Alligator mississippiensis: one gene and its partners. The protein of the gene in region 3 interacts with the protein of the main gene of each other region in a biochemical or structural test. Links are inferred from orthologs where the notes say so. Each region holds a gene or a part of one and is shown on either strand. Other genes may lie near its edges.

The links.
Region 1: the proteins of UBE2A (region 3) and RAD18 form a complex in vitro, tested with the Homo sapiens proteins (12 studies listed by BioGRID, with this or other methods). The link is inferred for Alligator mississippiensis from reciprocal best matches to the Homo sapiens genes UBE2A and RAD18.
Region 2: the proteins of UBE2A (region 3) and RNF20 form a complex in vitro, tested with the Homo sapiens proteins (4 studies listed by BioGRID, with this or other methods). The link is inferred for Alligator mississippiensis from reciprocal best matches to the Homo sapiens genes UBE2A and RNF20.

The regions. Positions count from the first base shown.
Region 1 is NC_081835.1:14,537,158-14,544,524, reverse strand, and holds the start of RAD18 (E3 ubiquitin-protein ligase RAD18), read left to right. Parts: upstream 1-4,134; 5' UTR 4,135-4,210; coding exon 4,211-4,264; intron 4,265-5,290; coding exon 5,291-5,372; intron 5,373-7,367. UniProt on the Homo sapiens protein: E3 ubiquitin-protein ligase involved in postreplication repair of UV-damaged DNA. Postreplication repair functions in gap-filling of a daughter strand on replication of damaged DNA.
Region 2 is NC_081826.1:162,743,305-162,750,701, reverse strand, and holds the start of RNF20 (E3 ubiquitin-protein ligase BRE1A), read left to right. Parts: upstream 1-4,164; 5' UTR 4,165-4,262; exon of another isoform or gene 4,263-4,273; intron 4,274-4,810; 5' UTR 4,811-4,894; intron 4,895-7,397. UniProt on the Homo sapiens protein: Component of the RNF20/40 E3 ubiquitin-protein ligase complex that mediates monoubiquitination of 'Lys-120' of histone H2B (H2BK120ub1).
Region 3 is NC_081831.1:72,656,400-72,664,820, forward strand, and holds the start of UBE2A (ubiquitin-conjugating enzyme E2 A), read right to left. Parts: upstream 3,235-8,421; 5' UTR 3,065-3,234; coding exon 3,021-3,064; intron 2,797-3,020; coding exon 2,716-2,796; intron 2,605-2,715; coding exon 2,579-2,604; intron 1-2,578. UniProt on the Homo sapiens protein: E2 ubiquitin-conjugating enzyme that accepts ubiquitin from the ubiquitin-activating enzyme E1 and transfers it to a E3 ubiquitin-protein ligase. In vitro catalyzes 'Lys-11', as well as 'Lys-48'-linked polyubiquitination.

The DNA of each region.
Region 1 (7,367 bases), on a different chromosome or scaffold from region 3:
TCTTCAGAGGCAATTGTGGCCCTTCAGAAGCAGCGAGGGGTATAAAATTCAATTAAAAACATCACCGATAAGGTAACTTGGGATATGTGAGCTCCACAGTTTGCAGGAAAAGGAAGGGATTTACCTTTCACAGCTCATCAAAAGAATGAAAATATGGTTATCGTCTCATAGTGGTTCTTTATACTGTATTGGGTCATCCCCTTTGTATCTTGGTTAAATGAAAAGATTTGCCAGCTTGGAAACTGAATGAGCTGAGCGTCTAGAGACCTGCACATTGTTGACACTTCTTTTTTAGAAAAAGTTTCTGAATTTTTAAGTAACGTTCCATGATACTGCCTCAAAATGCAAGAGTCTAGTCACGGCATCCACTCTGGTTACTCTGCTGAATCTGAGACGAGCACTGGATTAATTTATCAAGATATTTGCAAACAAGAGAGACAAATGACTTGATCTTCTGTGCTAGGCTTAAAGCAACAGTGGAGAAAGTACTTGCTTACACATCATTAATTGTGAAACAAATGCCTTTGTAATTTTTCCCTGTGCATGCTTACTTGTAAGTTGGAAACTTTATGAGAACAACATAAAAGTAAATATTATAATACAAAATGCATGTGTAATGTGTGCAGTTACACTATAGGGGGCCTATAATTTCATGTCACAAAAAGGCAGAAAATATCAATGACACTTTGGAGCTGCATTTTTTTGGCTTATTTCAATAAGCCACTGAGGGAAAGACAAGAAGAAAAAAAAAAGGGGGAAAGGAGAGTTTTTTAAGAGGAAAAGGAGAATAAAGGAAATGATAATAATAAAATAGGGGACATTTGGGAAGAATAGATTTGATAAGGATGGATTGTAGGCCTATGTAAAGCATTTGGACTGGGAGCAGACATTATAAGGAGCAAATTCACTGTGTGGCCTTCCCCAAATATATAATTTTAATTTTGTTTATGTCTTACATTTGTTCTAACATACATATTAAAAGTCATAGTACTATATACAATGCACAGTGTAATCCAATTCTGTGACTAGCCTCAGGAGTGAAGAAAGACTCTGCACTTGCTCAAACCTAATGGAAGTAATGCTTATTAAATTCAGAACAATCCAGGGTCCCTGCCACATGTTACATATATTACACAATTAACAATTAAATCGCACAATAAATTTAGACTGATCATGAGTCCAAAATTAAGACTGGCCACACATACAAAGTAATCATCATGCCATAAAAATGTCTATTCAACTGTAAAAAGGGGCAACCAGGTACAAAGTTAGTGCTTGAAACTGTGTAATAACTCTATGGCTCCTGCTACATATATTACACAATTAACTGGTAAATTGTGCAATAAATGTACACTGGATACATGTGCAAAGTAATTATTACATAATTGACTGGTTAATTGAACAATAATGTTAGACCAGGCACATATGCAAAGTAATAAGGCACCTGCTATGCTACATATATTATCCAATTAACTGGTGAATCGCACAATATACGTAGACCTGCCACACATGCAAAAGTAAGACTGACCACAAGTGCAAAGTAATTATCACGCAACTAACTGGTTAATCGGATGGAAGTTAATAAACTGACTTCCATTCAGCTTTAACCTGAGGGCCCTAAGCTGAACTTGCTGTCAGTGATATGATATTAGTAGCCTTGAAATGGCCTATTGAAGGCTTCTCATAGGAGCCCCTGACTAGCTTTGTTAATTTTATGGCTTCAAACAGCTCCCCCACACCCACTGATCTACTTTGCCAGCTGCCTTCTCTTTACTCTACCGGTGCCCCTTTTTGGGCCTTGCTGCATGTTCAGATTAAAGGTGGATAAGAAACCAGCTATAGAGCTGTTACACATTTTCAAGCACTTTGTTGCTGGTTGGCTCTCTTAATAGCTAGAAAGTAATTTTTACAGTGTGATAATCACTTTGCACCTGTGGCCAGTCTAAATGTATTGCATGCTTCACCAGATAATTGCATAGTAATTATTTTGCACATGTGGCCGGTCTCCCCTTGCATGTGTGGCTGGCCTAAATCTATTGCACGATTTGCCAGTGAATGGTGCAATATATGTAACGTGTAGCAGAGGCCTTTATTTTCAGTGATGGGGAGGAGGTTTCAATGTCAAAGTAGACAGTGGGATGGATGGACGCACCAGAGGCTTGGGCACTTCATCTGTACGCAGGTAAGTGGCCTGTGTGAGAGGGGGAGAGGCAGGGCAACGTGAGGCCTGGGCACCGTTGGATTTTTGTGCCAATGGTGCACTGAAGGTAAAGCATACGAATGCAAGAAACTGCAGCTGGCTGCACCCACCCGCGGTGCCTCTAGCCCAGTGGGTCTCAACTGTTGTAGACCTCAGGCACCCCTCAGACTGTGTTCACCTGCATTGCCAGGTCTTAACTATGAAATTATTGTACTGGAAGCTCAAAAGTATCATATTTCCATTCTCATTAAAAAACTAGGGGACTGTGGCATCGATACCGATCAGGCCGCAGTTGGAGTACTGTGTTCAGTTCTGGGTGCTGCACTTCAGGAGGGATGTGGACAGCATCCCTGAAGGGTCCAGAGGAGGCCACTCGCATGATCAGGGGACAGCAGGGCAGGCCGTACGAGGAGAGGCTATGGGACCTGAACCTGTTCAGCCTCCATAAGAGAAGGCTGTGCGGGGATCTAGTGGCCTGTTACAGACTAGTCAGGGGGGACCAGCAGGCATTGGGGGAGTCCCTGTTCCCCTGAGCACTACCAGGAGTGACTAGAAATAACAGTCACAAGCTGGCAGAGGGTAGATACAGGCTAGATATCAGGAGGTACTACTTCACTGTCAGGGCGGCTAGGATCTGGAACCAACTTCCAAGAGAAGTGGTGCTGGCTCCTACCCTGGGGGTCTTTAAGAGGAGGTTAGATGAACACCTTGCCGGGGTCGTTTGACCCCAGTACTCTTTCCTGCCATGGCAGGGGGTCGGACTTGATGATCTGCTCAGGTCCCTTCCGACCCCGACCAACTATGAAACTGTAATAGCTGAAAAATGGAAAAAATGCAAATAACTCTTTTTCTTTACTTTATATTGCTCACTTGAAGCAGTGAGTGAGCGAGAACTGGGTCATCAAAGTGGAAGTGTTTTTTTTTTATTTTGAGGCAAGCCGTCATAAGAAAGCACTGACGGCCAACCCCGAAGTTGGCGAAGACTCCCTCAGAGCGACTCGGGTTTGGCACGTGCTGTGTCAACTCCCCGCCTTGACAGGTCTCGTACATTTTGAAAGAGGAATCGGGACTCATGGGAGAGGTGATATCTTTTATTAGACAAACTAGATATTTGCAAAAAAAAAAAAAAAATTGTTAAATATTGTTTAATTTAAAAATACATTTTGAATGCTTTTACTCTCCTACTACCTTTGAAATGACCTCACAAATATGATTATTGATAATATTATCATTATAATCATTATAATTATAATTAAGTTAATTATGATACTATCCTTGAAATGACGACACAAACATGATAATTACTGGTAATTATGATAATTATCATACTGATCATTATGATATTATCATGATGATCATTATAATTATAATTATAATTATAATTATGATACTATCCTTGAAATGACCGCACAAACATGATAATTATTGGTAATTATGATAATTCTCATACTGATCATTATGATATTATCATTATGAGCAGTATGATCATTGTAATGATGAGAATTATGATACTATCTTTGAAATGCCCGCACAAATATTATAATTATTGATAATAATCTTATCATTATGATCATTATAATTGTAAAAATTATGATACTATCTTTGAAATTACCGCACAAATATAATTATTGATAATTATGATAATCATTATGATAATGGTGATAATGATCACTATGATCAGTATGATCATTATAAGTATGAGAATTATGATACTGTCCTTGAAATGACCGCACAGATATAGTAATTATTGACAACCCCGCGGCGGGGAGGTCGCCGCATCTCCCGCCTTGGCGGCCCCGCCCCCCCAGAACCCCGCCCTCCGCGGGGAGATGGCACGTGACGTCAGGCGTGGGGGAGACGGGGGAAACCGCGAGCTCCGGCGGGCGAACTACATCTCCCAGCGGCCCCCGCGGCGCCGACCCGGAAGTGTGACGCACTGCGGGCGCGCGATTCGGACGCCGGTTGGGCTGTTCCCGCGGTGCCACCGCTGCCCCCGCCGGTCCGCCCGCCATGGCTCTGGCGCTGCTCGAGCCGCGCTGGCCGGAGCGGCTGTCGCCGCTGAAGGTGGGTGCGGGGACGGCCGGGGGCAGGGCGGCAGCAGGGAGGCAGCGGGAAACCCCGGGGCGCTGGGCCCGGCGCGGGCTCTCCGTGGCCCGCGCGCTGCAGGTGGGGGCGGGGCGGGAGAAGGGCTTTCTCTGAGCAGCCTCCAGGGTGGAGACTGCCCGCCCCTGGGTTACCACCCTGCGAGTTTTGCACGATATCCAAATTAAACCTCCCTTGCTGCTACTTGAGATCATCGCTCCTCGTCCTGTCATCTGTCACCTCTGAGGACAGCCCAGCGCCATCCTCTTTCTACCCCTGCAGGGAGTTGCAAGGTGTCACTAAATCCCGCCCTCAGTCATTTCTCCACACTCAATAACCCCACTTCCCTCCTCTTCTCCTCAGCAGTCGTGTGCCCCAGCCCCCGAACTGTTTTATAGCCCCCCCGGTCCCGAAGGACGACAGACAGACCTGCTGTTTCCATTGAACACCCCCACGTAACCTGTGCATAGGCTCACGGACAGGGTTGGCAGGGGCCGCGGGAGGTTGCATCTCATCCGAGCCCTGCTCAAAGCAGGAGCAGCCCCAGTTTCCGTCTAACGGAGATGAGACCCCACCACCTGCAGCTCCCCGGCAGCCCCCGACCGTTTGCAGTCGTGACACATGCTGGGGGCAGTGGGCGACCGACCTGTTCAACTTCTTTTGCATCCCATGAGGGGGCAGGGTTAATTGCGTGTGTACATAAATCAATGTATATGGAGAATACATTCGTGCAGATTGCTTCTCCCCCTTATATCTTGGCTCCACTGTATGTACACTCTGCAGTCCGTTTTGCTTGCATCTGCCCGTGACGTGCTAGGGGCACGCGGTAGGGACCTTGCCAGAATGGCTGCAATGATATAAAGAGACTGGACCAGGCATATCAGGGCCCGAGCAATGATACAGGTGCAGGGATGGACTTTTGTCTGGAGGTACAAACAGGTGTTGTCCTGAAGCAATGCTTTCAGTGGTGCTTTTGGTGACGCCAGTGATAATTTGTTCCTGTTGCAGGCAGTGGACGACTTGCTGCGTTGTGGGATATGCTTTGAGTACTTCAATATTGCAATGATCATCCCACAATGTTCACACAACTGTGAGTACAGGACAGTTTCATATGAATGTGCATGTATTATGCTAGTGTTTGACTTCTGAATTTTGCTCCATGATCAGATTGGTACTGGGGCAGAGGGGGCGGGTGGGCTTGCCTTCCTCCTGTCGCAGGGGCATGGCCCATGGCCTGGGATCTCAAGCATATACTGACAGTATTTCATAGAAGCACGTCTTTAGCTGCCCTGGTTCCCCTGCTTTATCTGTGACAGGTTAGGGGGTGAGGTCTGTGTTGTGTCATGGGTGACGGCAGTCTTACGTAGAATTTAGATGATGGATTGTATGGGATGGTTTGGATGGGGATGATCCTACCTCAGGCAGGGGGTTGGATTAGATAATCTCTGGGGGTCTGTTCCAGCCCTTCTTCTCTGTGATTCTCTCTGACTTTTATTTCACGCCCTCATCTGTCTTACTACCTTCTTAGCCTCTCTCTGTATAAAGGAGAACACAGGTTACTTACTGCTGGACTGTACCAGTTGTCGTAGGACTAACATTATAGTGTGTGCTGGGTCGCGACAAATGCCTGCCACTGACCTAGTAGTTACAGTTTCCAGCCACTTGACATTGACCAGATGCCAAATGTGATGCGACTGAATTGGGCCCAAAGTGTGTGGTTAATCAGTATATACAGAGAATACATTTGTACAGATTGCTTCTCCCCCTCATTTTTCTCCATTGTGTTTAAAGTCTATAGTAAATTTTGCTTGCATCTGTCCATGACATGCTAGGGCAGGAGCGGGCAATTATTTCAGCTGGAGGGTTGCTTAACAAGTTTTGGTGAGCTGTCAAGGGTTGCAAGGTTAGCCCTGCCCCTTGACAGGTGCCCCACCCCCTAATTCAGCGTTTTCCAACCTCTTTCACCCCACAGCACACTTACCTAAATAAAAAAGCACCACGGCACACCAGATGTGGAGTTGGGGTAGTGCATAGCCAGCCGGACGCTGACCTGCGGGTGGAGGGAAGGGCATGTGGCCAGCTGGATGGCGTTTTGGGTTGGAACTACACCCGCTGGCTGGCTGGAGCCACGCTCCCCATCTGTCTGTGTCCGCAGCAGCAGCAGCAGGCGGGGGGCATAGCTCCAGCCCAAAATGCCGTGGCACATCTGGACGTGCCTGATAGCGCACCAGTGTGCCACGGCACACCGGTTGGGAAACGTTGCCCTAATCGCCATCTTGGGACTGGAAGCCCCTAACCCCTGACATTTGACACCAGAAGTCATCCATATTGTCTTCTCCCCCCCACCCACCCTCCCTCCCATGGAAGTAATCCTTCTGGGAGGGGGGGTTGCCATCTTGGAACCAGAAAAAAAAAAATTGTATACTCAAATCAAACTACTATAACACATTTTAATTTTATTTTAAAAAATATTTTGGCCCTGATTTATGTGCTTTTGCATAGTATATAAAAAGGTGGTTGCATAATAGTTCAAATAAAGTCTTACTCTTCTACGTTGTGTGTAGAGGGGCATGGGATGTGGTCGGTGGGTGTGTGTGTGGGATTTGTGGGGGGTGTGGGGTTTCTGAAGGGGTATGGGTATGTGTGCCTCCTCCCCCATGGTGTACAGCCTCCGTCACTGACAGCAGCAGTAGCAGGTAGAAGCACAGAGCCTGCCCATTTTGATGGTGCATGACCTCTGAAAGTCTGCCTCCTGCTGGCTTTCAGAAGAGCAGTTGCAGGCCGGTAATAATTTTTTGGAGGAGCCCAATGGGCCGGATAGAATGGCCTGGCAGGCTGGATCCATATTTTGCCCACCCCTGTGCTAAGGGCACATTGTAGGGATACCTTGTCAGAATGGTTCCAATGAGATAGACTTATTCCAGTCTCCCTATCAGGGCCAGAGCAATGATACAGGTGGAGGGATCACTTATAATCCATTTAAACTCACCAGAGCTTAGGGATGTGCTGTTGTTTTACTCCAGTTAGCTCAAACCCTCCTGTCACTTATCCCAGTGATGTGCAGTATGAAATCTCACCAGAGGTT
Region 2 (7,397 bases), on a different chromosome or scaffold from region 3:
CCTCTGCCTGCAGGGTTGGGCCACCCCTGTTCCCCCATGCAGTTGGATCGGGGCTGGTCATGCCCCTTCTCCCATGGAGCTGGGTTGTGTTAGGGTCAAGTCTCCTTCCCTGCATGGTTGGATCAGCATCAGGCTGCCCCCTGCTCCCTTCTACGAGCCAGATGGGGTCCCACTGCAACCCTCTCTGGGTGCCGGATCAGGACCACTAGTGAAAGCCAGCCTGTGGAGAGACCAGGCACTGCACATCTAGCCCACTGGACAACGAGGTTGAGCATCATTGTGTATCAGTGGATATCCTGGAGTCTTGTTTATTGGATGATTTGAAGAAGAGGCTAAGTAAATGTCAAGGCAATCTTGGTAAATCTGATTTTGCCTACGCACAGGGGTTTAGACTACATGATCTCTTGTGATCCACTGAAGTTCATACTATAGTGCCTCTGCAGCTAGTCTTGTCCAAATCAGCCTAGTTCATGAAAGACAGACACACCTTTACCATTGTGTTAAGATAACATATTTAACCATCTTCCTTTAAGACTGTCAAGAAGCAAGGCTTCTGCAGAGCTCTGTTGACTGTTAATGTGGACTTCAACCCCCAGAAACTTCCCAGGGGCTGGAGGACAAAGTGAAAAGGAAGAGGAAGCAGGGGGTGGCCAGAAGAGAAGCAGAGAGCTGTGAGAGGGCTATGCTTGGTTGCTGGACACTGGGGATGCATAGTGGGACTGTAGATCTCACTGGCTCGGTTAGCCAGGGCTGCGGACTGAAGGAGCTGGCCTCAGACTTGAGAACAAGTGCAGCCTGCTGTTTGAGCACTCTGGGGACTAAAGGCTGGTTTGGGGACACCTCCAGTGGTGTGTGCGTGGGGGCGGGAAATTAAGGTGCTGAGTGTATGTACCACAGTGTTAATGTCTATTTACCTTTTCCCTCCCTTTGGCATTGGCTTGTGACCCTAACTCCTATGATGTTATATATAAAAGTGGGACCCCCCCCCTTTGCTTCTTGTGCCAGTTTCTGTGGCTGCACAGTTGGCACAATATTTAGAAATGCAGAAATCTTGCAGTGTTTTAATGAAAAGTGGATCTTGACCTAGTTCCTACTTGTAAAGCATTTGCCATTCATTTTTTTTTTTTTTTTTTTTACACAACAGATTTTTTGGGGGGTGGGAGGGGGTTCCGTAAATTACAGTATGCTCTGCATTTTATTATGTGTTTAATTGCAAAAGCACCATAATGTAGTAGCTCTGATACAGCAATGTGCATCTGAGAACTATTTCTCATCATAAGAGGAATGAAGTTCTGGAACAGCCTTCTAGTTGGCATAGGAGGGGCAAGAAATATAATAGCTTTTAAGATGGAGCTTGATGAATATATAAATGAGATTATATGATGTAGTTGTCTACCATAGCAAAGGACAGGGCTCAAAGACCCAGAAGCTACTTCACATTGTATATCTTACATTCCTAAACATTAGGCATACGCATAAATATTATGATATAAACAGGACTTAAATGCATTCAAAAGCTTGTCGAACTTTATTTCAACCATGCAGTTGGTCCAATAAAAATATCATCCGAGAAAATGCTCACCTCTTGCTTATTAAGTATGTACTTAAATGCTATGTTGAAACAGTACCTAAATGAAGACACATCATTCAAATCCTGATTTTGTGGCAGCATCAGACTCTTTGTCTTGATTTATGATGAGCTCAGCCTTTTCACCAATTATCTCTTTGTTTTCAAAACTGTCTGTACCTAAATCTTTCTTGTGTACAGCTTTCCCATGTGTACTTTTTTGTCAGGCACAAAAGGTACAAACAGTATAAATTGGGGGCTCTTTTAGCTGACTCTAAATCTTAAATGGAGCCTCTACACTTTAAGGGTATGAAAGCATAATGTGATCTTTATGAGATCTGCCCACTATAAAATAGCAATTATAAAGCCTGTCTGTCATCAGACTGCAAACCAGATTGTATTCTAATGACACTGAACACAAGTGCTCTTCCCAGGTGTGCTGGGTTTGTTGCTCTGAAAGAAAGGCAGAGCTAAAAGGATTAAAAAATGGGCAACACTCCATGGGATTTTCACATGAGTGTGCGCGCCGGGTCTGACCCCGGGTCGCTTACGTTGCTCTGCACGCAGGCTGTGGCCAGCAGCCCGGGCAGGCCGGGTCGGAGAGGGCGGGCGCCGAGCTAGAATTAGGCACAGACACGTAACGGTTGATTTTAAGATTATTTTACTTACACCGAGATGGTCGTGGTGTAGGCTGAGAACTTGCTTGAGTTGTGGTTACAACAAAAAACACGAACACACGTGGAGGTTGCAAGGCTCCATGCAGACAGAACATGACAAACTCCGGATGTCCAGGACAAGCACGCATTAAACTCGTCGTTACATCTTATAGTAGGCTTCGTTCGAAGACGGGAAGAGGTGGGCGGTGGATCAGGCCGCCAAACTCCTCTGAGCGACACACAGGGTTTCTATTACCCTGCCACACACACCCAGAATCCCCACAAGATGGATGCAAAGTCCTCTTCGGCTTGGGCAGAAACTGCTCAAGCCTCTTATACGGCTAGCAGGCCAATCGCTAGCCGCCATGTGTGAATAATTTAGAACTAGCCAATTGCGGGGCACAAATTTGCATACCACGAGCGGGAAACCTTTGCACGGTGCATTTCTGTGCTCCAAAGGAAATGCACCCTGCAAAGATCGCTGCAAAGTGGCGGGAACACTTCCCTGCATGCGGGTTCTCTGCGCAGCAGAACTCCTCCGTGTAACGAAGCGGTATACCTGCGGGGATAATTCTTAGTGCCGAAGCACACACAAAAAAAATCAGACCTTTGGGTCATGACAATGAGCAGAGACTACAAAAAACTAGAATTGTTTAGTTTTGAAAGGAGATGAAGTAAAGGAATCACTGAAATATTTAAGGCTATGAAAAGTACGGTAAAAAAGTGACCAGCCCTCCAGTCTTATGTGGTCCACAATGTGGAAATAAGTTTAGTTCTCAATTAACTGAAGAGTAAGGCACTTCAGAACACACAAAAGGAAATATTTTTTCATAGATCATATAATCAATCTTTGGAATTGCTGTTGTCGGAGGTCACAGGCTGAAATACAGGGCTTTGACAAGGGTGGTGTCATTTTATGGCTAAGCAGGATTTTTTTTAAAGTGTAGTTTGGTACTCATTCTTCTGGGCCCTGTATAATACACTCGGGAGTATGGCACTGCACACGTGACTAGGCGTGGTATGGGCACTGGGACTTGGAATAATCAAGAGGCCAGTGAGAGCAGATTTTAAAGAACAATTAGTTCAGATTTGGATGACAAATCCTCTCTCCCAGATTAGCTGCAGTAAGTATATCAACACTGTATATATTCCTAATTCCCAGGCTAATACATATTAAACCTTCTGGCATTACCAGGGTGCGTCTGAGCTCCTGCATATTAAACCTTATGTTTTTAACAGCAGGAATGAATCTGCTGCCTTGAGCCTGGGCTTGGGCTACACAATCTCCAGACCACTATGACACCCTGCAGAGGGGAACTGAGGGAAGTGACTCGCTCGCCGTCACGGCACGATTCTAGGCTGGTTCCCTATCCTCTTCTCCCCTCTATCATTAGCTGCATGGACTGCAAACGCTGCCCAGCTTTTGGTTTTCACCCCTGGCAACGCAACGCCTGCAAGGACCGTGCTGCCCATTGCGGCAGGGCTGGCTCAGGGGGCAACACGGCCAGTGCCACCTGCTGACCACAGCTCCACCGTGCAACCGGGCTGCTTTGATTTGTGAGGGTTTTCTTGAGCACTGCCGATGCAGCCACCAAAGGACCCCCCGGGCCCCTGTTCTTCCTACAGGTGGCGCTCCGCAGGCACGCAGCGCTGGTGCCACAGGAGTCCTCGGGCCTCGCCTCAACCCTTTCCTCTCCGCCACTTCCGCCCACGCAGAGGAAGGGCGGCAGCCACCCTTTCCCTTCCTGCCAGCGTCAACCCCTTAGAAAACAACGGGAGGCAGTCGCCATGTCAAGTAAGGGCACGGAGCATAGCCGCTCCGGACCATCCACAGGAAAGGCACGCCCAGGGTGCGTCACGGCGCCATGGCTTCAGGAGCCTAGAAAGCAAAGCGGTGCGGTAGCCATATTTAGTGAGGGCACCGCCTTCGGGGTGACGACCTGCGCAGTGGGCCGCTGATTGGCGGAGCCGCTGTCACTGACCGCTTCCGGCTGGGTCAGGGGTAGAAGGCCAGAGGGGAGGCGCAGCGCCGGGCGGCGGTGAGCTCGGGGTGCGGCACGGGGGATTGGCCGGGGCTAGGGCCGGAGCTCCCCCCACGCGCAGGGGCGGGGTCCGCCCTGGGGGACGTTGGGGGCTGCGGGTGCTCCCTGCGCGCGGCTGCCCGGGGGGAGGGGCAGCGCTGGGGGCTCGGCTCGGCCCGGCGGGGGAGGGGGGCAGCCTCCAGGAGGGGGGAGCGTTGGCTTCAGGGGGGCCCAGCGCCCCACCCCCACCCCCGCGAGTTGTAGGCCTGGAGGGAGGGGGCGGGGGGCAGGGTGTGTGTACATACATACATATACATTGGTGCACATTGATTATTAAAAATAATGTGTATAGACACATATATATGCACGTGTACATGTATGTATACATGTGTTAATGTATATGCATATGCATAAATGCATATTGATTATTAAAAATAATATCTATACATATGTATACACAGGTGTTTGTATATATAGATATAGGTATATATTATATTTATCAATAAATTGTGTACACATACGTATACATAAATGCATATTCATTGTTAACAATGTCTGTATACTAGGGATGCACCGATAGAGATGTTTGCGGCCGATACCGATCTGATTTCCGATACCAACCCAGCAGCCTGAAGAACAGCATCCACCTGGTAAGTCTGTTGTGGTGGACGGGGACGGGGACAGGGGAGGGACAGATCAAGGCCCCCTGTGGTGAGGGAGGAGTGAGGCCGGGGCTCAGCCAGAGCAGGGTGGGTGTGGGACACAGCTGTGGTGGCGGCTTCTGCTGCTACTTCCGCCACTCATCCAGGGGAGGGCATTGGGGTGGGGGGCATGTGCCCCAGATCTGTGCGGGGTGGTCAGGGCCGGGACTACCAGACGGCAGTCGGGGCAGGCGGCACTGAGGGCAGGGATACAGGGAGCACTGCAGCCACCCCAAAATTTGCCAAAGCCCCTGCTCCCAGTGCTGCTGCCACCTGCCATGAACACAGAGTGGCGCAGCCCTGGCCCTGCTTGCCCCGCACAGATCCAGGGGCATGCTTGCCCCCCCGTGCCCTCCTGGACGAGCAGCGGGAGCCCCCTCCCTGTGCCCCCTGGATGAGCCACGGCTCCGTCCCACACCTTCCCTGCCCCAGCCCCTGTCCCTGTCTCAGCTCCACTCCCTCCCTCATCGCAGGGGGCCTTGATTTGCCCCCCCACCATGCCCCTTCCATTCCTCCCTCCCCTTCCACCATACCAGACTTACCAGCTGGACACTGCTCTTCAAGCTGCCGGGCTGTGCTTCTCGCCGCCTATGTGCTGCCCTGCAGCCACGCAGGCACAGGCCATTTATCAGCCAAATTATCTGCCATATGAGGCTGATTTCTGATAAAGACAATTTTCTTTATATCCGTGCCAATCTGATATTGGACCAATGCATTGGTGCACCTCTAGTGTATACATTTATGCGTATGTGTGTATACATGTATGTATGTATCCGTATGTAAATGCATATAGATTAAAAAGAGCATGGGTATGTATATGTATTTGTATGCGAGGATACACGTATTTATGTGTATACCCACACCTATACATATAGATTAAAAGAACGTGTGTGTTTACACATGCTCACATGTATGTGCATGCATACATATATCGATTTTTAAAAACAAAAGTTCCTGTGTGTATATACAGATGCTTGTGTACATGTACATATGCATGTATACACACCTATATGCACCTATATTACTAAAATGTGTGAATGCGTATATACATATGTGTATACACATGTAAATGTTTATGTGTACCCTCATACATGCCTACATACATATGGTAGAGGTGCACCAATAGAGATTTTGGGGGCTGATACTGATAGCCGATATTTAAGGAGGCATATCAGCCGATACCAGTCCAATTTCTGATGCAGCTGCCATCAGCTGGTCAGTCCATTGTGGTGGAAAGGGAGGGGAGGAGGGAAGGGGCATGGCAGGAGGGGTTGCAGATCAACGCCCCCCGCGGTGAGGGAGGGGGTAGGGGCAGGCTCTGCCCAGCCAGGGCGGGGGGGGTGGCAGGATAGAGGTGCGGCTTGTGGGGGGGGCAGCTCCTGCCACTGCTTGTACCCCAGGAAGGCAGGGGGCGTGTGACCCCAGATAGGCACGGCATGGGGCAGGCTGCAGCTGCGGGGTGGAGATGGTGCTTCATGGGGCTTTTCTTGCCGCTGGGCTTGGAGCAGGCTCCGGTGTCACTGGGAGGAGGCTGTAGCCACCCCAGATTTCACCGCATCTCCACTCCCAGCCCCTCACTGCTGCCCAGTGGCCAGTGCAGTCGCAGCTGAATGCCCCGCCTCCACCCAAGCACTGGGAAAAGCAGTGGCTGAGCTGGACAGCGGCACAGGGCTGGAAACAAAGCTGCAGCAAAATTTGGGGTGGCTGCAGTCTCCTCCTAGCAGTGCTTGAGCCCTCTCTGAGCCCAGCCTCTGGCGAGAAGAGCCCTGCATAGTGCCGGCTCCAGCTCCATCCCACAGTTGCAGCCCATCCCGCGCCGCGAACATCCAGGGGCAAATGCCCCCCCCCCCCCCCCCCCCCCCCCCCCCCCCCCCCAGTGCAAGCAGCTGTGGGAGCCACCCCCCTCTGCCCCCTGGCTGGGCAGCACCTGTCCCCTCCCTCACTGCAGTGGGCCGTTGATCTGCCCCCTTCCCATGCCCCTTCCCTCCCCATGCCCCTTCCAACTTATCAGCTGGAAGCAGCGCTCCATGCTGCCAGCTCTGCTCCATGCTGCATTGCAGCTGCACACAACACGGGTGTTTATTGGCCAAAATATCAGCCCGATGTATACACAATTTTCTTTATATCGGTACCAATCTGATATTGGACCGATGTATCAGTGCACCTCTAACATAGATTATTTTTAAAAAAACAACAAACCTCACAGAGTCACTGGTTTGTAACTTTGCGGTAGCTATATTTAAAGGATGGGATAGAGCACATGAAGCAGTCCTCTGTCTCATTTTGAAGTGCCTTTCTTAGCTTGAGAAGCTGCAGTGTCGGCTGTTAAGAAATCCAGCAAACCCCCGCTCCCCCGCCCCCAATTAGAAACCGTGGGGCTCTGAGTTTTACAGGTTTTTTTATTATTGTTACCTAAATTTTGTACCAAATTAGTAGGCAGCATGATCCTCTG
Region 3 (8,421 bases):
ACAGTACAGGAATGTTTAGCATAAAGCAGACAGGTCCCAAAATGAATACAAACCTCTCAACAGTGAACAGCACAGTAGAGCTTCAGATCACAAATTGAGGCCCTTCAAAAACTAGGGTCATTCAGAATTAAGGAGGCCCCAAGCAATGAAAAACCATACGTCACAATTCCATTAGAGCATGGCTACTTGCCAAGGCCTTCTCCATATACAACCATATTCCAGTGAAGGCATAAAATTATTCAAATCTATCTAAGACCTCAGGTGATCTCAAATTACTGTACCCTTACCAGGCCAATACTGTTGCAGAAACAGTGGCTCCAGAAAGATAAAATCATACCAGGTACAGATACACATGCATGAATGCATTCTTCCTAATGTCCATTAAATGTAGTACCTCCAATGTGAGGTAGTGAAGTGTACATTAGGCTGCCCTAATATGCAGTACTGCAAGTGCACACTTTAAAGACACTTAATGCATAGTAGCCTATTTTACTGCACATTAGCGATTAGCGTGGTGGGTTTTTTTACATGACACTTTCATGCACAGTAAAAAAAGGCTACTGTGCATTAAGACATGTGTAGACATACCCACCAAGTGCCTAATTTTTGACCTACAGAAAAGAGGTCCCCCTAGTTTGACTGGCACAGCCGGGGGGGGCGGGTCATCTTCTTTTAGCATGGGGCATGGTCCTTTACCTAGGATCTTCTGGGCACATACATAAGCTTACTTCCTATTATTGCAAGGGTAATGAGGACACTGACAATGCTTTCATCCATAGCATTTCACAGGCTGCTTTTGGCATCTCAAAAATTTTGTTCCTTTGCTTGTAGGCAACCAAGTGAAGGGAGCAATTTGGGAAATTCCTTTACTTAAGGAGAATCTACAAATGCAGGGGACCAGACACAACAGGACTGGCAGGAGCCTCCTGAGCTACGTTTCTAGCCCTCTAACTTTAGAGTGTGGCACAGAGCACAAGGTAAAAGGCACCAGCAAACTATTCAAGTGGGGCACACATCTCCAGATGCCAACACATACAATTCTAGGCAGCAAGATAAAAAAAAGCTGTGCTGTAACAAAAAACAAAAAAAAAAAAACAAAAAAAAAAAAAAAAAAACCCCAACAAACAAACAAGCAATTTTATGCCCTGCTCATTTTTCCTGCCTTGGGTATTAAGAAACCCAGTACACAACCTGCGCCAGAACACCTGCCCAAGAATGTTAGCCGAGGAACAACCCAACAGACAAGAGGAATAACCTACTGCTAAAGCACACAGGAAATATACTCCAGCTACCAGGAGTGCACGTAGCCTTGGATTCAAGCTGATTATGGTTTGAATGCCTAGAACCTTAGGGATTTAAGATCAAGGCATGAGGGGAGGGCAGGGAAGAGAAATCAATACTTAAAAGCCCTAGATAGCATTAAATATACCAGCACTTTCAAAGCTGATCTTCCACAGATATATTGAAGGTGGTAGATCTTCTTGTCAAAATCCTTTGTTACTAAACATCTCAGTAACCCCAACACTGAACTACAAAATGAGACACAAAAAAAATAACAACTCTCAAGATCGATACCATTAATTCACAGGAGCCAGTTTCTCTTCCTCCAAGCTGTGATCCATTTCTGGGATGGCTGTGCACCGTAAAGACAAGACCCGTCTCATCACCCAGACCTGTTTATACTAGTATATTAAGGCCCAAGAAACCAAAGAGAACTTCTGACCTCAAACAATCCCACAAACAAAGGAAAGAGCCACAAGCACCAGGCACTGCAGGAAAAAAAAAGAGAAGAGACCAGCCACTAAGCAGGAGAGCTGGAGGTAGTCGTGTAGTTTTGTGGCTAACTAAGGACAAAAAAAAAGCAACTAATTAGAGTGTTCTTGGGTCTGAGGTACTTTAAAAGGGAAAGCATGAGCTCAGGAAGGCAGAGCCCTCAAGCCAAACAGTTGCTCCCTCAGAGGAAGAAACAGTTTTAGAGCTAGGGAGTCTTACCATGCAATTCATGATGAAAGCATAAGACTCAACACTAATTGTAGTCCTATACTGACACCTTTACAGAATAACTATTTCTAATTGTTTCTTTGCTTAGGTCTAGCAAGTTCAGGATAGATACTGGATCCTTCATACAGCATCAGAAGTGCAAACTTCAGAGAAAATAGTGAGCAAAGCTACAAACAATGACAAAGTTAGGGACAAATGTATCACGGGAAGTTTTTTTTTGTTTTTTTTTTTTTAGAAGGAGCGTAGGTACTTTCAGTTTTAAAAACTGAAAGTAGCTACAACTAGACTAAGGTAAGGAACCCTTAGTTCCACATTTAGGAAGTCAGACTTGGGAGGAGGGAGGGGAATAAGGAAGGAAGGTTTGCAGCGGTCAGGGACGTAGCACCACAGAGCAGTTTTAAGGACAGAAGTTTTGGCAGGGAGGTGGGCAGTGGTTGTGCTTCCCGGGGCTGCGGAGGTCCTAAGCTGACACCTGTTGCAGGGACCCAGAAGCAGGTCACACTGGGAAAAAGAACAAAAAAAACCAACCCTCCAAAAACCAAACCAAACCAAACCCCAGTAGCTTAGCGGCACTTACCATCCTCAAAGGGAGTCCCCTCGGGCCTGGAAGAGAAGGGGGAAGGGGTGAGCACAGAGGAAGGGTGAGCGCAGCGCAGGGGTGCCCCTCCGCCCGCCCCGCCCGCAGGGGGCGCCAGCCCGCGCATGCGCACTCACCCGAAGATGACGGCGTTCCACACCATGATGTTGTTCTCGGAGGGGGCGCCGCTCACGCCGGCCGGGGGGTCCTCCTGCAGCCTGCGGGCACGGGCGTGTCAGCGTGGCCAAGCTCCGCCCCCCGGGCGGGCCGCAGCTGGCGTAGCCCCCGGGAGTCACCCCCAGCAGTCAGCGTAACCCCGGCCCCCCTCCCTGCGCAAGCGGCGTGGCCTAACGCTACGCAAGCGGCGCAGGGCCGCTGCTCCTGCCGCCATGTTGGCCGGCCCCCTCCTCTCCCGGCCTCCCTCCGCCGCCGGCCTCGTTACCTCTTGAAGTCCCGCATGAGGCGCCTCCGGGCCGGCGTGGACATGGCGGGCTCAGGGTGACGAATCGCTCATACACTAGCCCCGGGAGCGAAGGAGCGGGCGCTCAGGGACACTAGGACGACGGCGGCGGCAGCTGGCTCCGACTAAGGCGGCGGCGGCGGGGGCTGCCGAGCGATACCGGGTCGTACCACTGCGCCGGCTCGCGGGGGGGAGGCCGAGACGGCGGCTCACTCCTCCCGGGCGATCCCGGGCTGTACCACTGCCGCGGGGAGGAGGAACCGCACGCGAGTGAACCCTGCCGGACCCTACCACCGCGGTGGAGAAGCGGGAGGCGGTGTCTAAAGGAATCCGGGATGTACCAAGTACCGCGGCGGAGGAGGGGCAGCAGGAAGTGAGACGGCACCACTGACGTCAGCGGAGAGGGCGTGTTCTTGCCATTGTTCCCGCCCTGGGCGTGGCTGGGGGCGTGGCCTTGCACCTGCTGCCTCAGGTGAGGGCAGGACAAGGGATCTCAGTGTGTTTAAGGCGGGAGCGAAGGTGGAGGGCAGCCTCACCCCATGAGTCACGGGAATGAAGCCACTTTGTTATCCCTGACCTGTCCCCCAAGGTGCTCCACGCACCCCAGGAGTTTCTGCTTCCAGCCGGGAGCCTTGCACATGTCTTAGAAAAATTAAAGGGGGGGCTAAAAACTGCCTGGGAGGGAGCACCACCGCCTCCCTTTGCCACGGTGACCCACAGCCACCCTCACCAACACCCCTTGTTTCTAGCCCAAAATTGCCGAGCTTTAGCCTCCAGCCGTTGGATCCGCTTTGTCCTTGTCTGCTCCATCAAAAAGCCCACGATCAAAGTTTTAGGCAGGCCTTGGCAGTTGTAAACTGGGATCAAGGCACCCCTGAGCCCTCCGACAAGCTCTTGGGTTCTTTGCAAGGTTTTCCAGTGTTTTAATCGTTCTGCTGAACCCTCCCCAATTTATCAACTGGAATACAGCTGCAGGGGGAACATGACCTGACAATTAGGAACAAAGAGGCTGCCTGCTCAGCTATCGATCTGATGGAGGATGTGTTTATGGCAGTAGGAGGCTGGGGAAAGCCTCACTGTCCATCAGGGTGAGGTGGCCTCCTACCGGGACGGGTGGGGCACTGGGATGTCTGCCTCCCCTGCGTCCTCTGCTGGAAACCCGAGACACGCGTTACTTGAATAATGTCCAGATCTTGCTAGATCAGAGATGCAGAAACAGTGATTGTGCAGATGTGAATCTTCACAGTCTTTTGTTTCCTCTGCGTGCATCTGGTGAGGGTGTGTCCTGATGTGTAAGAGGCAGGATCTCCTAGGTTATGTTCCGAGTGGGACTCGTGCTAAATAGTTTTTTCCAGTGAAATTAATTATTTGCCTTTCACACTAGGCTCCATTTTCTTTTTGTAAACCCCAAAATCAGTTTACCCAACAGGGCATTCTCTTTACCCATACAGTAGGTAGGAGTAATCACTTTGGTACAAATATCAGCAGTTTGCTAATTATGTTTGTTAATGTTACAAGGTGGTGAAACATTCTCAATACAGAAAAGGATCAGAATATCATATGCTGGCATATTCAGGCAAAATTAGATTGGGGGATGTCAGCAACCAATGTGATATGGCTGTGAAAAAGACAAATGATGTCTTAGAATGTATGACTTGGTGCAGTAGATATAAAGGAAAGTATTAAAGCTGCTGAACAAGGCACCAGTGAGACATCATCTAGAACATGATGTAAAATTCTGATCATGCTTGCTGAAGAAAGATGAATTCAGACTGGAGCAGGAACAGAGAAGGATTACTAGAATGGCAGGGACTGGTGAACCTATTTTATGAGAGAAGATTAAAAGACCTTGTCATATTTAGTCTACTGAATTGTAGGCTGATACTGGTGATGTCACTGGGAAGATGCTGCAAGCTGAGGTGTTGCCTGGGCTGGTGTTTCTTTGAAACCTGTATCCCATTAATTATTTTCACCACAGAAAAATTGCTTTCTATATGAGTTCTGACAATAATGACAAATTCTCGCCTCCCTTTGAGGATTTTTTTTTATCTGCATGGCTTGTGTCTGGAAAAACCATGTTTCTCTTTGATCCCTTGACTTGCCTGTCATTTCACCCTTTTGCTCTTCATGTTTCCTTTAGGGAGATACTCTTCCCTCCACATCAGAGACCTTTCTCCCTCTATGTTGTGACAGAACTTCAAACTTAAGAGTCAAGCCCTTACTTAGCCTACAGAAGCTGGGAATTGAGAGATGATCTCTCAATTAAACTTTCTCGTTAGAGCCAAAGGATCTGCAGAAGCTTGCATGCAGCTCCATAATGAAACTTGTTTTAGTTCTTTTCATTCATGTATGTCTGTGTTTACTGAACCTGGTGATCTCTACACAAGAGATACAGGCATTCCTTGTCAATGGCATTATCTTTCCCCTAGAATCACATCCAGTTGGGAAGGACCTCATGCCAGCCATCAGAGAAGAGGGTCTACTGCTTCTTGCCAGGAGAACAGCATAACCCATGCTGCTGTTCCCATGTAGAAACAGGAACCTTAGAACTTCCTCTTGGCCCATTTATTGTCTAATATCCTTCCAGCTAATCAGATCCATCTTTGGGGCAGAATGTCAAGAGCCGAGCTTTCTGCTGACGGTTGGAGTCCGTCTGTCCAAGTCCAACTGTTGTGGGACGTCTGATCCCGACGCTCCACCCCTGTTGCTGCATTACGTGATTCCAGCTGGAATGGGACTTTCTGACCCCTATGTTTGACCCCTTCTGCTACAGGGACATTACCCCTGCTTGTGTCAGGAAGGCGGAGGAGTTTATATTTATGGAGACAGAACAAGGTTTTATTCTGTAGGTATCAGACTTTTTAACAGTTTAATGGAGATGGGTGGTCTTGCTTATGGGAAGTGAGTCCTTTCATGCTTTTAGGATTGCCAGGCTGACTTCTATACAACTACTTGGGTGCCAGGGCTTCTGAAATGACTATCTGAGCATGAAATTTTAAATGTATGTGGATGCTTTTTTTTTCATCTGGTTGTAAACTGGACTTTCTTGTAGTGGCAAGAGTAGCTTTTGTAATCTTATGTTAGAGCTGTGAGTTTCTTACCTGCTTGGGGGGAGGAAGGAGCGTGGTACATCTTCTCGTTACACCCACATCAGACTATAAATGAGGGATGAAAAAGAGCATCATCTCTAGTATATGGTGTATAGCCTTCCTTATCTTCATTACAAGGATTCAGTCCTAGGAAATTACAAGTCTGAGTCGTCTGTGTTCAACTGTGATCTGAATGGCCTGGGTTTGCTTCAAAGCGGCACAGGGTATGCTAGGGCATATAGGTTTAATGGGCCTCATTTCTGCACTGCAGATGAAAGTGACTGAAAACTATAACTATTTAATTTAGATACCTGTAATTAAGCATTTGGCTCTTACTTCACTGAAAAACAATGAGCAATCTGCCCAGCACAGCCTCGTAGCTCCCTAGAGTTACTAGCGACTTGGGGGTGTTTATTATCATAGCTAATAACTGTAAAGATAAGGATTTGTAAGCAAGGAGTAATTTCACTCACTCCTCCTGGCTGAATGGCGCTTGCCAGACCACTGGGCCATAATCCCACTCTATTTTTCAGGGAGGGCTGCCGACTCCTACACTTCTACTCCTCCCTGAAAGCCTTACATTAAGTTAATTGGACTTATTTATTATTGACTGTGGAGGGAAATTATTTTGGCTCCATTTGGATAAAATTTAGTTCTTTGTGCCAAATTCAGATCTCGAATAAGTCCATCTACACTCATTTAATGAACGTGCATTTAGTGACATGAGGTCTTAAGTTAGCCTTTGATGACTCTTGTTGACATAAAATCTATGTCTTATGTTCTCTTGAACTTCAAAATAGAGTCTGATTACATTATCTGAATGTTTCCAAGTTTCGTATAAGTATAAATTACAGTCATCCATAAATAGCTGTTGCAGCAGACACAGTGTACAAAAAGTAAAATAAAATAGAAATGAGCTCTGGTTTCTTGGAAATCACTTTTAGCATCTTATAGGACATCCAAAGAATGGACTTTTACCTTCTGTCTCAGTGAAGTTAAATTAGTTCCACAACCAGTCAACGACAGCCATATTAGCAGATAATTTAAGGTATATATTGTGTACAGGAGCCATGGCAATGGATGCATAATAAATTATTCTACAAATAAATGTATACCAAGTTAAACCTTTAAAATTGCCTCCTTCTGGAATACTTTACAGAATTTAATTTAATATATGCTATCAGAAACAGTCAGTAGGTCATATTCCCAGACCCAAACTGATGGCTCAATCTTTCCAGGTGCCAAGTCTCCCAACTGGATGGAATGGACTTCACAGATTCTTACACTTCTCATTGTACTTTCGGATTCGTAGAACTTGACATTCATTTGATTCTGCATAGGAGATTACAGTATTACCAGTATTAACTCTACAAGAGTTAATACAATAGGCACTCTTTATAAGGAAGCATATTTCCAAGATGGCAGGGGATAAAAGTCAATATGAAATTGCCAAATTATTCAGCTCTTTGTATACCTCCATTTTTCCAGATAAGTATTGGGTAAAATCACTTTTTGTTCTTACTTTATCACTCAGCTGTTTGCACTCCATTTATATCTTGAAGAATATGTTGAATGTGCAATGCCAAGAACGGTTTCTTCTATTCTTTGCATTCAGAATGTTTAGAATTATGAAGAGTGCTCATGGGAAATTACAAAATAGGGTTATATGAACAAAAAAACTTGTTCAGTCATTTCTGTAAAATCCAGTGCATATTGCCCAGCTATGACAGAAGATCTACAATGTGCAAAGAACTCCCACAGTGTAATGCACACAAGTAAACTCCTGCATCCATGGAGAGGGATTTTCAGCTGTTTTAGGGTCCACCTGAGCATAATAGTGTAGGATTTGTTGCTTAAGTTTACACAGGTTGACATTTCAGTGTAGGGCCCACCACACTGTGGAGTTAGAGATTGTCAGGATCCTGAAAAGAATCATGGGGAAGAAGTCCTGGAACTATTACAAGACTACTGGATATAAGGATATGTAGATACAGTGGTCCTACCTCCTCCTTACACCAGACATCTGCTTGTAATGAATTGGCTGGAGTCAGTGTTGTGTTGTAGCTACAGCATCTACCTGTATGTTGTACAGTGAGCTTTTCTCTCACTCCTTGCTTGCACACAGCCTCAGCAGTCAAGCTTAGGGTAGCAGGATCAATTCATTTCTCAGAAGGCCTATAGATACCATGGTGATAAATATTATATAAAAGCCTAAACTGAGATAGATGAGTGGATGAGCCAGAAACAAGGAATTTAACTTTCAAGCAATTTACTTACAAGAACAATTGTCCCCC